Styela clava: one gene and its partners. The protein of the gene in region 3 purifies or fractionates together with the protein of the main gene of each other region. This does not show direct contact. Links are inferred from orthologs where the notes say so. Each region holds a gene or a part of one and is shown on either strand. Other genes may lie near its edges.

The links.
Region 1: the proteins of uncharacterized protein LOC120333750 (region 3) and RNA-binding protein fxr1-B-like purify together in Drosophila melanogaster (affinity purification with western blotting; 3 studies listed by BioGRID, with this or other methods). This does not show direct contact. The link is inferred for Styela clava from reciprocal best matches to the Drosophila melanogaster genes lig and Fmr1.
Region 2: the proteins of uncharacterized protein LOC120333750 (region 3) and ras GTPase-activating protein-binding protein 1-like purify together in Drosophila melanogaster (affinity purification with western blotting; 3 studies listed by BioGRID, with this or other methods). This does not show direct contact. The link is inferred for Styela clava from reciprocal best matches to the Drosophila melanogaster genes lig and rin.

Annotation. Positions count from the first base shown.
Region 1 is NC_135256.1:13,109,092-13,112,851, reverse strand, and holds the start of RNA-binding protein fxr1-B-like, read right to left. Parts: upstream 2,891-3,760; 5' UTR 2,730-2,890; coding exon 1,345-2,729; intron 944-1,344; coding exon 829-943; intron 429-828; coding exon 225-428; 3' UTR 1-224. UniProt on the Drosophila melanogaster protein: Polyribosome-associated RNA-binding protein that plays a role in neuronal development and synaptic plasticity through the regulation of protein synthesis of mRNAs.
Region 2 is NC_135252.1:4,648,353-4,652,112, reverse strand, and holds the start of ras GTPase-activating protein-binding protein 1-like, read left to right. Parts: upstream 1-1,169; 5' UTR 1,170-1,257; coding exon 1,258-2,712; 3' UTR 2,713-3,760.
Region 3 is NC_135264.1:6,149,340-6,153,099, forward strand, and holds the start of uncharacterized protein LOC120333750, read right to left. Parts: upstream 2,895-3,760; 5' UTR 2,836-2,894; coding exon 2,725-2,835; intron 2,045-2,724; coding exon 1,958-2,044; intron 1,771-1,957; coding exon 1,657-1,770; intron 880-1,656; coding exon 696-879; intron 565-695; coding exon 405-564; intron 328-404; coding exon 219-327; intron 1-218. UniProt on the Drosophila melanogaster protein: Acts in the nervous system to mediate the control of copulatory organs during courtship.

The DNA of each region.
Region 1 (3,760 bases), on a different chromosome or scaffold from region 3:
AATATATACAAACAATACAAGAATTTTGTTTTGTTCGAGAAAAATATGAACATCAAACACTGAAAACTAAATGTTGACTTGCGTGTCACGAAGATCCAATAGGCAAACACCAGCATTAAATATGTTCAACATGCACATCTACTAGTATTTTTGGTCAAGGCTGAGTTAGGAGTTTGTTAAAGTTGTAACGTAAGCCTCGCATGGCCGAAGACATATAGGTCTGTTTATTTAGCTGTGACTGTTGTAGCACTATCTTCTTTTTTAGGATTGTTTCCGGTACTTTGTGCGGCATCACCATTCATTGTGCCATTGGTGAGGTTGTCCAATTTTCCCTTTTTATTCCGGTTTCTATTTCGTCTCTTCTTGCCTCCAGTGTTAGGGTTGGTTTGTGGTCCACTTTCTGTGCCATTTTGTGCTGGCGCTACCCCCTGATGAAGAAATGAATAATAAAAGTACTACAGGGACATCAAAAAATGAGTACAAAAGTTCAGGGCTGTGAAGTGGGAGTTGCAAATTTTCAATGGTGACAAAATAATCAAATTAAAATCAATATTAAGAATTCTTGACAGTTTATTGAAAAAGATGTGCATGAGCCAAAGTTTGTCATCAGAATTGGATTTTCTTGGAGTTCAGCATTGGAGCCAAAAATTTTCTTTAATGGAAAATGAAGTCGATTGTAAATATCTCCACTGGCTGTTGGAAACACTTAATTTGTCAGAAATTTCAAAGTGTTGCTGATTTATGAATAAATGCATGATCAATTCAAATTAAATTCCATGGCACACATCTAGAGTTCTAAACTGTTTGAAAATAATATGCACAACTTACATTTTCAACCTTATCTTGGCCTTCTCCAGCTCCATTTAGTGCTTCAAAGCGATTGTGATTTGGATTGGATGTTTCTTTCTTATGAAACGGTTTCTGTGATTGCGGCTTTCCTCGACTGAAAAAGTATATGGTTAGAAAAAATCTTGTTCAAGGAAATAGTCCTTATATCAATTGATTCCAAGCATAACTGTGTGTGGCTTGAATTTGCTATACGCTCATGAAAATAAAGCTCCTTTTGGAATATATCCTTCAGTTAGGATAGGATTTACATATTTATCCCAGGGAAGAGTGAAGACAATAAGATGGCTTAACCCTATGGCGGACCACGGCCTCTCATCCGGTTACCATTCCATGTCGGGTGTGGGATTAGTTAGGTATTTGTTTTTCGAAAGCATGAACTTGATGGTGGACGAAGCCGTAAATATCTGTAAGTTTATATGCGCACGGCAGTTATTCAATTAACAGAATAGCCAATTAACGTAAATGCTACAAATTCCAATGCAATATTATACTCACTTTGAATATCCATTATTTAACAGTTCCTTTGATTTGATTTGCCCTTTACTATCTGTGATTGATTCTCCACCTGTTTCTGATCCTGTGTCTGAAATTGACTTTTCGGAATTTGTAGTAGTGGCTCCCTCTCTATCGCTACCAGAGCGTCTGCGTCCTCTACCCCGGCCTGGGTTATACCTGGGTCTTCTGTAACTTCCCTCCATGTCACTTTCACTCTGAGAAGGAAGTGCACTCGACCCTCCATCAAGCTGTCGTATACGCTGATTAATACTCAATTGCTCCATTCGTAAATGGTCAAGGTCCCTTAGGTATGCAACATGGTATTCCAAAAGCGCTCTTGCATTTCTGATATTTTCTCGTATTCCGATAAATCGAAATGGTACCATTCCAGGTTCAATTTCCTTTTCTGTATTCTCATCGTCCCCAACAACTCGGACTCGGATAACACCAGATTTGTCAATCATTTCTTGGATTGTAGCTCCCTTTTTGCCAATCACTTTTCCTACATACGGTCTTGGAACGATAACTTCTTCTTCACAAAATTCCAACATTTCTCTTGCTTGTTGCACAGCTTCTTTGGTTTCACCATACACTGAAAATGTGTGTGTATCCTCATCTAAAACGATATCTAAAACACCAGAAATTTTTCTAGCAGCCATGATATTGGCTCCTCCTGTACCGATGGCTAGCCCAACTAAATCTTCACCAACTGTGAATTTTTCCACACACGATTCTGCACGCTGCTGAGTTATTTCCAATTGTTTCGAAGCTTCTTCGACTCTTTGGAGCATTTGTAATTTGGTACGAAGACTTCGGAAATGTAGATCTGACACAATCGTAGCTCTTCGCTGAGCTGATGAATTTGACACGATAACATCAAGTTGTTTCTTTGTGGAGTTGTACCGAACTAAAATCGCTTCAATACTTCGTTCAAATTCCTTATGAGCATCTATGTATTTTGTACAAAAGTCTTGCAGATCTTCAGGTACATCCAGGGACACTTTCCTGATATCATTACCTGACAATGGTTGGTTGCTATTGATAGGTCTGAGACGTTCTTTCGTGACAATTTCAGTATACTTTGGATCACACGATTGGTATTCAATAACGAAAAATTCTCCCTTGCTCATTTTAATCCGACAATGCCACCAACCACAAGGTTCATTATCATTTGCTCTTGAATGAACTTCGGCCTCTTGACCTTCAACGAACTCGATTCCACTTTCAACATCATATGCCAAGCGAATTTCTTGGAATGGAATAATCTTTTCAGGTTGCCAATTGTTCTCAAATGTAACAAGTATGCCAGTAGGGCCCACATCAGATAAAAATGCTTTATAATATGCACCGTTGGAACCCCTTACTTCTACAGTTCGGTTATCCATCGCTACTAATTCAATTATTGAATATCGGTTATGTAATACAGTGATGGGAGTTTTCAGTAGGCTATACAGAAAAATAAATATTTTTTTCAGATTGATACAGGTTTCTTAGTTTGTATTATTTAATGGAATTCAATGATATTCAATGGTTCAGATAATTATTTTTTTCAACCTTGCCATAATCAATTTCTTAATTAGTACAATATTGATATGTTCTAATTGCCAATAGCAACGAACTGGTTATATAAGGATTATTAGCACTGAAACGAATTATCTCATAACATATGCAAATATACACACAACTGCACAAAGGATCAGTCTCAATGTTTTCTTCAAAATAGAACAATATTCCATCAACGATTAGTTCATTATTAGCTGACGAATTATATCTGTATATCGATGGGATGAAAAACCTTCTCTTACAATTGAAAAAAAACATTTATTAAAAATCTGATTTTAATTTGCCAACTTCCTTTTTCGGAGTTAGGAAAACTGGAAATATGATTTCACATTTTCCAAAACTCGTGCCGTTGCTCTTGATCACAACTTATCTACCGCAACTTTTCATTCTGGTACTTTTTTTTCTTATTACAAAAAATCGAAAATATTGGTGGTACTAGAATAGAGATATTTGTATATAGGCAACATAAAAAACATCAAACTACTATTAATTTAGCGATATAATACCGGCATGCTGGTACGATATAGAATTATCAACCGAAAACATTACGGTATTCGCTTACAGCAAGGATCTTAACTAAGCTAACTAGACCTATCAAAACGTCCTGATAACAACCACGAAAACTTTGTCGTCTCGACTCCTACATACCTTAATTATTATTACTATCATATTTCTTTATTCTCCTCCCCAATATGCTTGAACTCAAAACACAAACGAACGTTGGCTATATACACGTGAAGGTGGCGAAACTTCGGTATCGCCCGTCCCATTTACATTCATTCGGTACTCGTTATTATGTGCATACAGCGAGATAACGAGAGAGAATTCGACCGTTGTTTTCTGTCGCAATACA
Region 2 (3,760 bases), on a different chromosome or scaffold from region 3:
TTTCACGCATGGCTGCGTATGCCCTAGTCTCGACGCATCAGAAACGATGTTCAAGGCTTGAAATCCGTGGTCGCACACTGGTCGTTCGGTCGCAAATACGTCTTCAGAGTGTCGTACTTTGGTGGTTTGTATAGCCTTAACCCCTGGTCGTAGAAAGTTAATTCGAAGTTCAGCGTGTAGAATAAATGCCAATGCACCTACGGTGAAAAAATTAACGGGTTAGAAATATTGGTTTTTGTTTTATAGCGGTTTGAATGAAATCGTCCGCAGACTGGCTACACCACCCTATGGTACCGATTGTATTTTGTAAGCTAATGACATTCAAAATATGGCTTTTCATAAATGTTTCTGAACTTAGTAAAATCATTTTATATAGAGCATTGATCGGATGGTTTTGTATACAAACTCTATTTTTATTTCCCCCAAACCTGAGACTTACTGACTTAGTCCTGTAGTCTGTTAGCGCTCTTTACATAATTTTTATTCCAAATGAAGATGCATGGATTGAAAAAAACTGTAAATTCAGAATACTAATATTTTCATGAACGCTTGAATATTAATTAGATTTCAAATATGTTCCAATTTACATAATGCCAATTTGCATAATGTGTAGCGATATGAGACCTACCTTTAAATTTTCATGAAGCGAATTTAAACCAAAACTCGAATTTATAAAATGCACTTCTAACAACTTTTTTGCGATACCTTTATTTTTAATTTGGCTTTAACTCTGCCATTGCATTGCACAAAATGAAATTTTGCACTAGTTATCATTTGTCAAATAGAATACAAATTTGATCAGATATTCAGCTCGATTATAAGGAACCGAAACGTAGTTAATAAGTGCACTTACTTATGTACAGTGTTCCTATTTTACTAAATTCGATGAAGGTTTTTGCATTTGTTTTCTTGATTCAATAATTCCTATATTTCATTAAATTTTTATTTATAACTCTCAACTGAACCTTAGCAAACAAAGCTATGTGTGGAAATCAAAAGTTACTGGTCACCAGTTAAATGATCATTTAAAATTTGAAAAATCTTGAGATGCAATCAAATCAATGTGTTAGATATTTTTACCTGCTGATTTCACTTTATCCATATTTAGGCAACAACATTTAATGTTTGTAATTTATATTGAAGACTGAAGTCATACCCTAATCTATTTTCTTTTTAATTTGAAAATAGGAACAAAACAAAAAAAATTTGGTGCACATACACTAATTTTGCTTCAAACTCTGAAACTTTCATCAAGAAATGGTAAGAATGGATCATCCAAGTCCTTTCCAGGTAGGGAGGGAATTTGTGCGCCAATATTATTCCCTTCTGAACAAGGCACCAGAAATACTACACAGGTTCTATGGAGTGAATTCGTCTTATGTGCATGGAAGCCGGTATTGCAATGGAGAGCCAGAAGAAGAGGTTGTTGGACAGATGGCAATTCATAAGAAGATCACTTCATTGCAATTCAAGGAATGCCATACTAAAGTATACCAAGTCGACGCTCATGCTACCATCAGCAACGGGGTTGTGGTACAAGTGATTGGTGAGCTTTCCAACAATCGCAAGCCTCTGCGTAGGTTTATGCAGACCTTTGTTTTGGCACCCCAGGGGGATAACCCATACAAGTTTTATGTTCATAATGATATATTTCGTTATGAAGATGAGGTGTATCAAGATGAAGGACGTCAGGAACATCTTGAGGAAGAGCAAGAGTTGGATGAGGAGGTAAATGTACAACAACCACCACCCCAACCAACACAATTTGACAACCATATTGGCTCTCAAAATCAGGCTGCTCAAATTATCAATAATGATCTGGAACCTCGTTTGGATTCTCAACCTGTCACTTCTGATGATCAAGATTCTCCTGCTTTGGCAATTTCTCCCCCAAATCATCCTGAATCTGAAACCGAATCTGACCACGCTCAAGATACTGAACCTGTCGACATTGAACCTCGTAACGAATCTCCAGTCTATCCCATCTCAAATGAGAATGAAGAACCTCAATTGGAAGAAACTGCAGAAAAAGATATACCAGAACCAACAGACAACATGAATTCTGTACCACATAAGGAACCTGAACCTGTTCAACCGTACTCTTGGGCTGCTCTGGCATCGAAAAATACACCAGCACAGCACAACATTCAGCAAGGCACCGTTGTTAAAGTTAACCAATCGAATGATGGCCCGTCCATGGATCAGCAAAAGCAACAAGTTCGTAGTTCTAGACCTCCGGTGACTTCACAGCGAGATGGTTCGGGTGAAGGCATGGGAGATCCGGGCGGACGACGTCAAAGTCGTTATCCCGATAACCAGCAAATCTTTGTTGGAAATCTTCCTCTGGAAATTACGGAATCCGATCTGCGTGAACACTTTTCTGAATATGGTGAAATTGTTGAAATTCGAATTAATCATTCGAATACGAGCAATCCAAGCTTTGGTTTCATAATCTTTGAAGATCACAAAGCTGTGGAGGAAGTTCTACGTTTGATGCCGACTACATTCAAGAATAATAAGAGAATTAACATCGAAGAAAAGAAGCAGAGAGCGATGTCACGCGATGGTGGACGAAGACCCGGTCCAGGTCGGTGGGAATCTGGTCGAGATAATAACCGCGGTGGTCGTTTACAACAACGTGGTCCACCACGAAGAGACTGGGGTGGGTCAAGGGAAGGTCAACGTCCTAATAATTTCCCTGGTCGACGGTGATCATTTGCTAGCTATTTACTAAAATGTATACAATTCAGTCACAGTTTTCTTATAAAGGATAGCTGTTTAAAATACTTGGACTTTATCACTATTTCCTTTTTGCCACCAGTTGAAATTGTGCTAATACCATCTGTTCTGGTGTATTTATTATTATTGTTCAGACTGTAAATTCAGCACCTCTTTCAAGCGAGACATTGTATCAAGCGTCTAGCAATCTTTTCTACCTAATTTCCCCGTGATAACTATTATGAGTTCCGGCAAGGGAATGCCAAAAGTGCAATCAGTTGTCAGACCCAATATTTTGATTTGTAGATTACTTATCTACACTCTTGCGATTTGAATACCGACTGGGCGACTCTTGGCATTTTCTTTCCTTCCTGTCTTTCAGTTTCATTTGTTTTCAGTGTCCTTCGATATCTGTATAAAATGTTTGATGTCCATTTGACTTTAATTCATATACAAATCGACGCCGTTCATGTATCGTGTTCTCTAATATTACTTTGTAATTAATGCAGATAATTCATTTCATTGGCTTGTTTATTGTGATAGATTTTGGTTTTCTAATTTCGGCAAAGTTAGAAATGTTTCTGTCTAAATGACATGCTGTTTTTCGATTTTGATTTTTCTCTGCATTTTTCCTAGTTCAAATATTCGATACAATTGACCTGAAATCATTACATGAATTCTGTTTTTGCCTTATTTAAAGTACGTTTCAGCGAAAACTGTATAAGAACTTGGAATACATAAATTTTGTTAAAACAATTCATTGTATAACCATACCAAGTCTGCATATGAATTGGTAAGTGAAATAAAGGTGTTTTTTCCCAAAGTTTTCTTAGGATATAAATATTTGATTATAACTGTCATACATGCTTTGATGCTTGAGCATTGTCAGAATTACTTAGCCCAATGGTTCATAATTTGACTTACGGTATTTTCTTATTGTTATTGAATTAGAGTTAGGAATTTTTCTGACTACGCAAGGTCTTACAATGTGCGCTTTTCGCATTTTTATCATTAATTCTTATTCATTTTCAACTGATCTGCC
Region 3 (3,760 bases):
AATATTTGACCATCCAAAATAATTACAGTCTTTTCCTAATTGCACCCTAAATATCAAATCAGTATGTGCTTTTCGATAGGTCTCGTATCGAACGAAGGCGTTGTACATTTTATAAATACAGTAAAAGAAAACAATAGGCTGGATTTGTTTCTTTTCAGTCAAAATCAGTCGAATAAATTTGACAGAAGCGTCTAGAATCAGAGAAAAATAATGATTACCTCTATATCCCAACATTCGTTACTTGTTCCTCTCCACATGTCAACAGGTTCTGTAAGTGAGTCTTTTGCATTTGAATCATCACCATATTTTGAACCAAATGTCTGATTTCTGAAACGAGAAATGAAAAATTTTTTTGAGAATATCAATTTCGGTCAAGATGAAAAAAACTTTAGAAGGAATTGTACTTATAATGTCTTGGTGCTCCACCCCCTCGACCTCTGCCCCCACGTCCTCTGTTTGTCCCAGATCTTCCCCGACCTCTTCCTCTCCTCTGACCTCTGTCTTGAAAATTTTCATTTTCTTTGTCATTATCATCTGTGGTTCTGGTCCTGTCTTGGTTCCGTCCTGATAAAAATAGCATTTAGATTTAGAGTATTACAATACGGATGACCATATTGTGATTGCGAGGTGGTTTAGATCCTATACCTCCCGGCCCCACCTCACCCAAGGCAGAATAAATTAGATGGATTAGGTACCTCCTCGTCCTCTTCCGCCGCGTCTGTTCCCTCTACCTCTTCCTCTCGATTCTCCGCCATCCCATTCTCTTCTGTTTTCGTTTGTTTTATCATCTTTCGTTTCGTCATCAAATGTGTCTTGTCCTCTTGTCATACTCGATCCACCTCTGTTTTTTCTCCGACCCGCGGTTTCCCATCCACTGTCCTGTTAAAATGAACGAAAATTTGTTTTAAATATTTCACATTATAAATACTACTAATTGAATCGTCTATAACGATACGTGAAAACCAGATTGTTACGTATTAACATATTCGCTAATTAATAATTATAAAGTGATTTGATATGAATTTAAATTTAATAGGTTAACACTGACATAGGCGAACTATGACCCGCAGGCCAATTCCTGCCTGTTAGGTAATTCTATCTGGCCCGCTTGATGCTGCCACAAACAAACTAAAACCAAGTTTTGACATTTTAGCTAAAAACGAGTTCAAGGAATTTGTTGAGATTGCGAATAAATTTAGTTTTAGCAAGAGCTTAATTGCTTTCCACATTTGATTTTGTAAAACTGTAAATATTGTTCATAAAATGTAACTTTTTACGTCACACTTACATGGTGAGCAAAATTGATGAAAACAAATTTTAACTATTGCTGTATACATTTATATATCATAATAAATTGATTTAACATTAACCTTTTAAAATAGACGGAGAGAGATTTTTTCGAGAGTCGTAAATTTATATTAATTTATTTTTGGTATGCGTAGTATAAAATGCTATTTTATAGTTCAACCAATAACTGATGTAATGTAATCATTGCAATTATATTGATAAGATGTCCACGAATCAAGAATTATTTATCAATATATTCAACTTCGAGTTATGTATGGGCCGCACTACTTTAAAAATATGAGATCGGTGGACAGCCACAGGAAAAAATATAAGGAAATTTGAGCAATTAAGATAAACTAGGCACTATACCTCCCCCTTTGAGCCTCTTTCCAAAATTAATTCAATGGCTCTAATTGGATCATTACTGGAATCATATAAAGCTAACAATGCATTTTCTTCACTGGTACCTGTGACTTCAACAATCTGAAAAGAAATAGATCATAGATGATCGAGAAAAATTCGATAGCAATAAAAATTTCCCATTGTTCACATAAAACGGATCCTGTAATAACAAAAATTCAAATCCTATTCTTATATGGTCAAGCTTGAATTTGGAAATTCCTGAATGCAATATCTATTTTTTATTTATTTACTTAATATTTCTGCCTACCTGTGAAACATTTTTAGATAATAATATGTCGTCATCCTTCGGTTGGTCGTTGACTAATTGTGCGATTCTCATCTGTTCAGCTGTGGCCTGTGGCATAAAAAGAGAAATAACAATAACATAGCAAATAAATTAATCGTAGAATCACTCATATACCAAGGGCATAAACAAAAATGTGAGAAACTATAAAAATGTATTTAATATGATAATTAATTTTGATTATCAAATTTAATTTTCAATATATTAGAGCAGTATTTCTCAATCTATGGATCGTCTAAATAATTTCTTGGGTCGCTTGCTTTATTCAATAAAAACTTGAAAGTTACTATTTTATTTTATAGTAAATTCCATGTTTATTTCCTATTTGGTATTGAAGTGTCGCTCAATCGTACTTGTATGTGTGGACAGTATCACTGCGTAAAAACTTTATTTGAAATATTCATTTTGCTAAGTAAAAGCAGTTCATTGAACTCACTGATGGCAAACACGAAGTTTTCTCTTTTTTTTTAAGTAATTCTTAGAGATATTTGTTATATAAAACGGATTGTTTTATTTTATTCAATCAATTTTAGTCATAAAAGTACTACACATTTAGTATTTGAGTATATCCTTGGGTCACACGATTTTTTTTTAATTTGGGTCGCTTCAAAAAAAGGTTACGAACCATTGCTTAAGAAGGATCAGTATTAAATTCTTTCCCAAAGCAATAATCTGAGACAATGACAAAAGTGTAAATATAAATCAATGAAAATTATTACAAATGCACGAACCTGTGGAATTTTATGAGTCGTCTGTTTCCCACCACCGCTACTGTGTCCTGTGTTTGATTTTTCTCGCTTTTGGCTTCCACCACGGGCCGATGTCTCATATGACATGACCATTTATATACAAATATGTACAACAGATATTATAAATCAGTTTCATGCACTGTTAACACAAATAATAAATATCGGAAATGACAGGGGAAACGAGTAAGGCAATTTCGCATTCATAGACAATGGAATTTGAACACATTTTGGTCATGATATATTTTTTTCAATGCTAGCTAGTTTGTATTATAAGAATGTAGAAAATATAATGAATTCAATTCAATGAACAGTGCTTAAACAAATGGTCTATTTAAGAAAAGAAGTTTACATTGTTTGATAAACTGCAGTAATAATTCCCCAAAATCATAAAAAAGTGACATATTCATAACATTATTAAACCATTATGTCTAAGGAACCGCTGCATTTCTAAAGCCAGAAATATTCACACGCAGTGAAGAAACCCATCAGGAAATGATCGGATATGACCTTATAAAATGGCATTATTCAAAAGGTAATACAATTCATTCAGTCCACGCCCTATTATTGTTTTGAAAATTAGTAAAGAACAATTCCGCTAGTAAAGATAGAATATGAGATGCAATTATACCAGAATAAGAGTATTTATCTGAGCAGCATTGTTTATCAAATTTGGCACATAATTAATGGTTTACTTGCAGTTTAACTATTACTGATAAATTATAGTAGAAACATAGTGGAAATATTTGCTTAGATATAAATAAAGGAAATTGATCAAGGAAATTTATCAATCTTGGCATAAGATTACATCATTTCAAAATGCATTGAAGATTTGTATCCCTATGATGCAGATAACATTCTTAATAATAAACATGAATTCGAACAAACAAATCTAAAAAGGTTGAAGCTCTTTGAATATTTTCATCCAGTGGCCTCAGTTATCATGTAATAGTGCAGGGAATAGCAAAACACACAAAATAAAAAAATCAATAATAATGCATATTATTATGCAGGAACTACT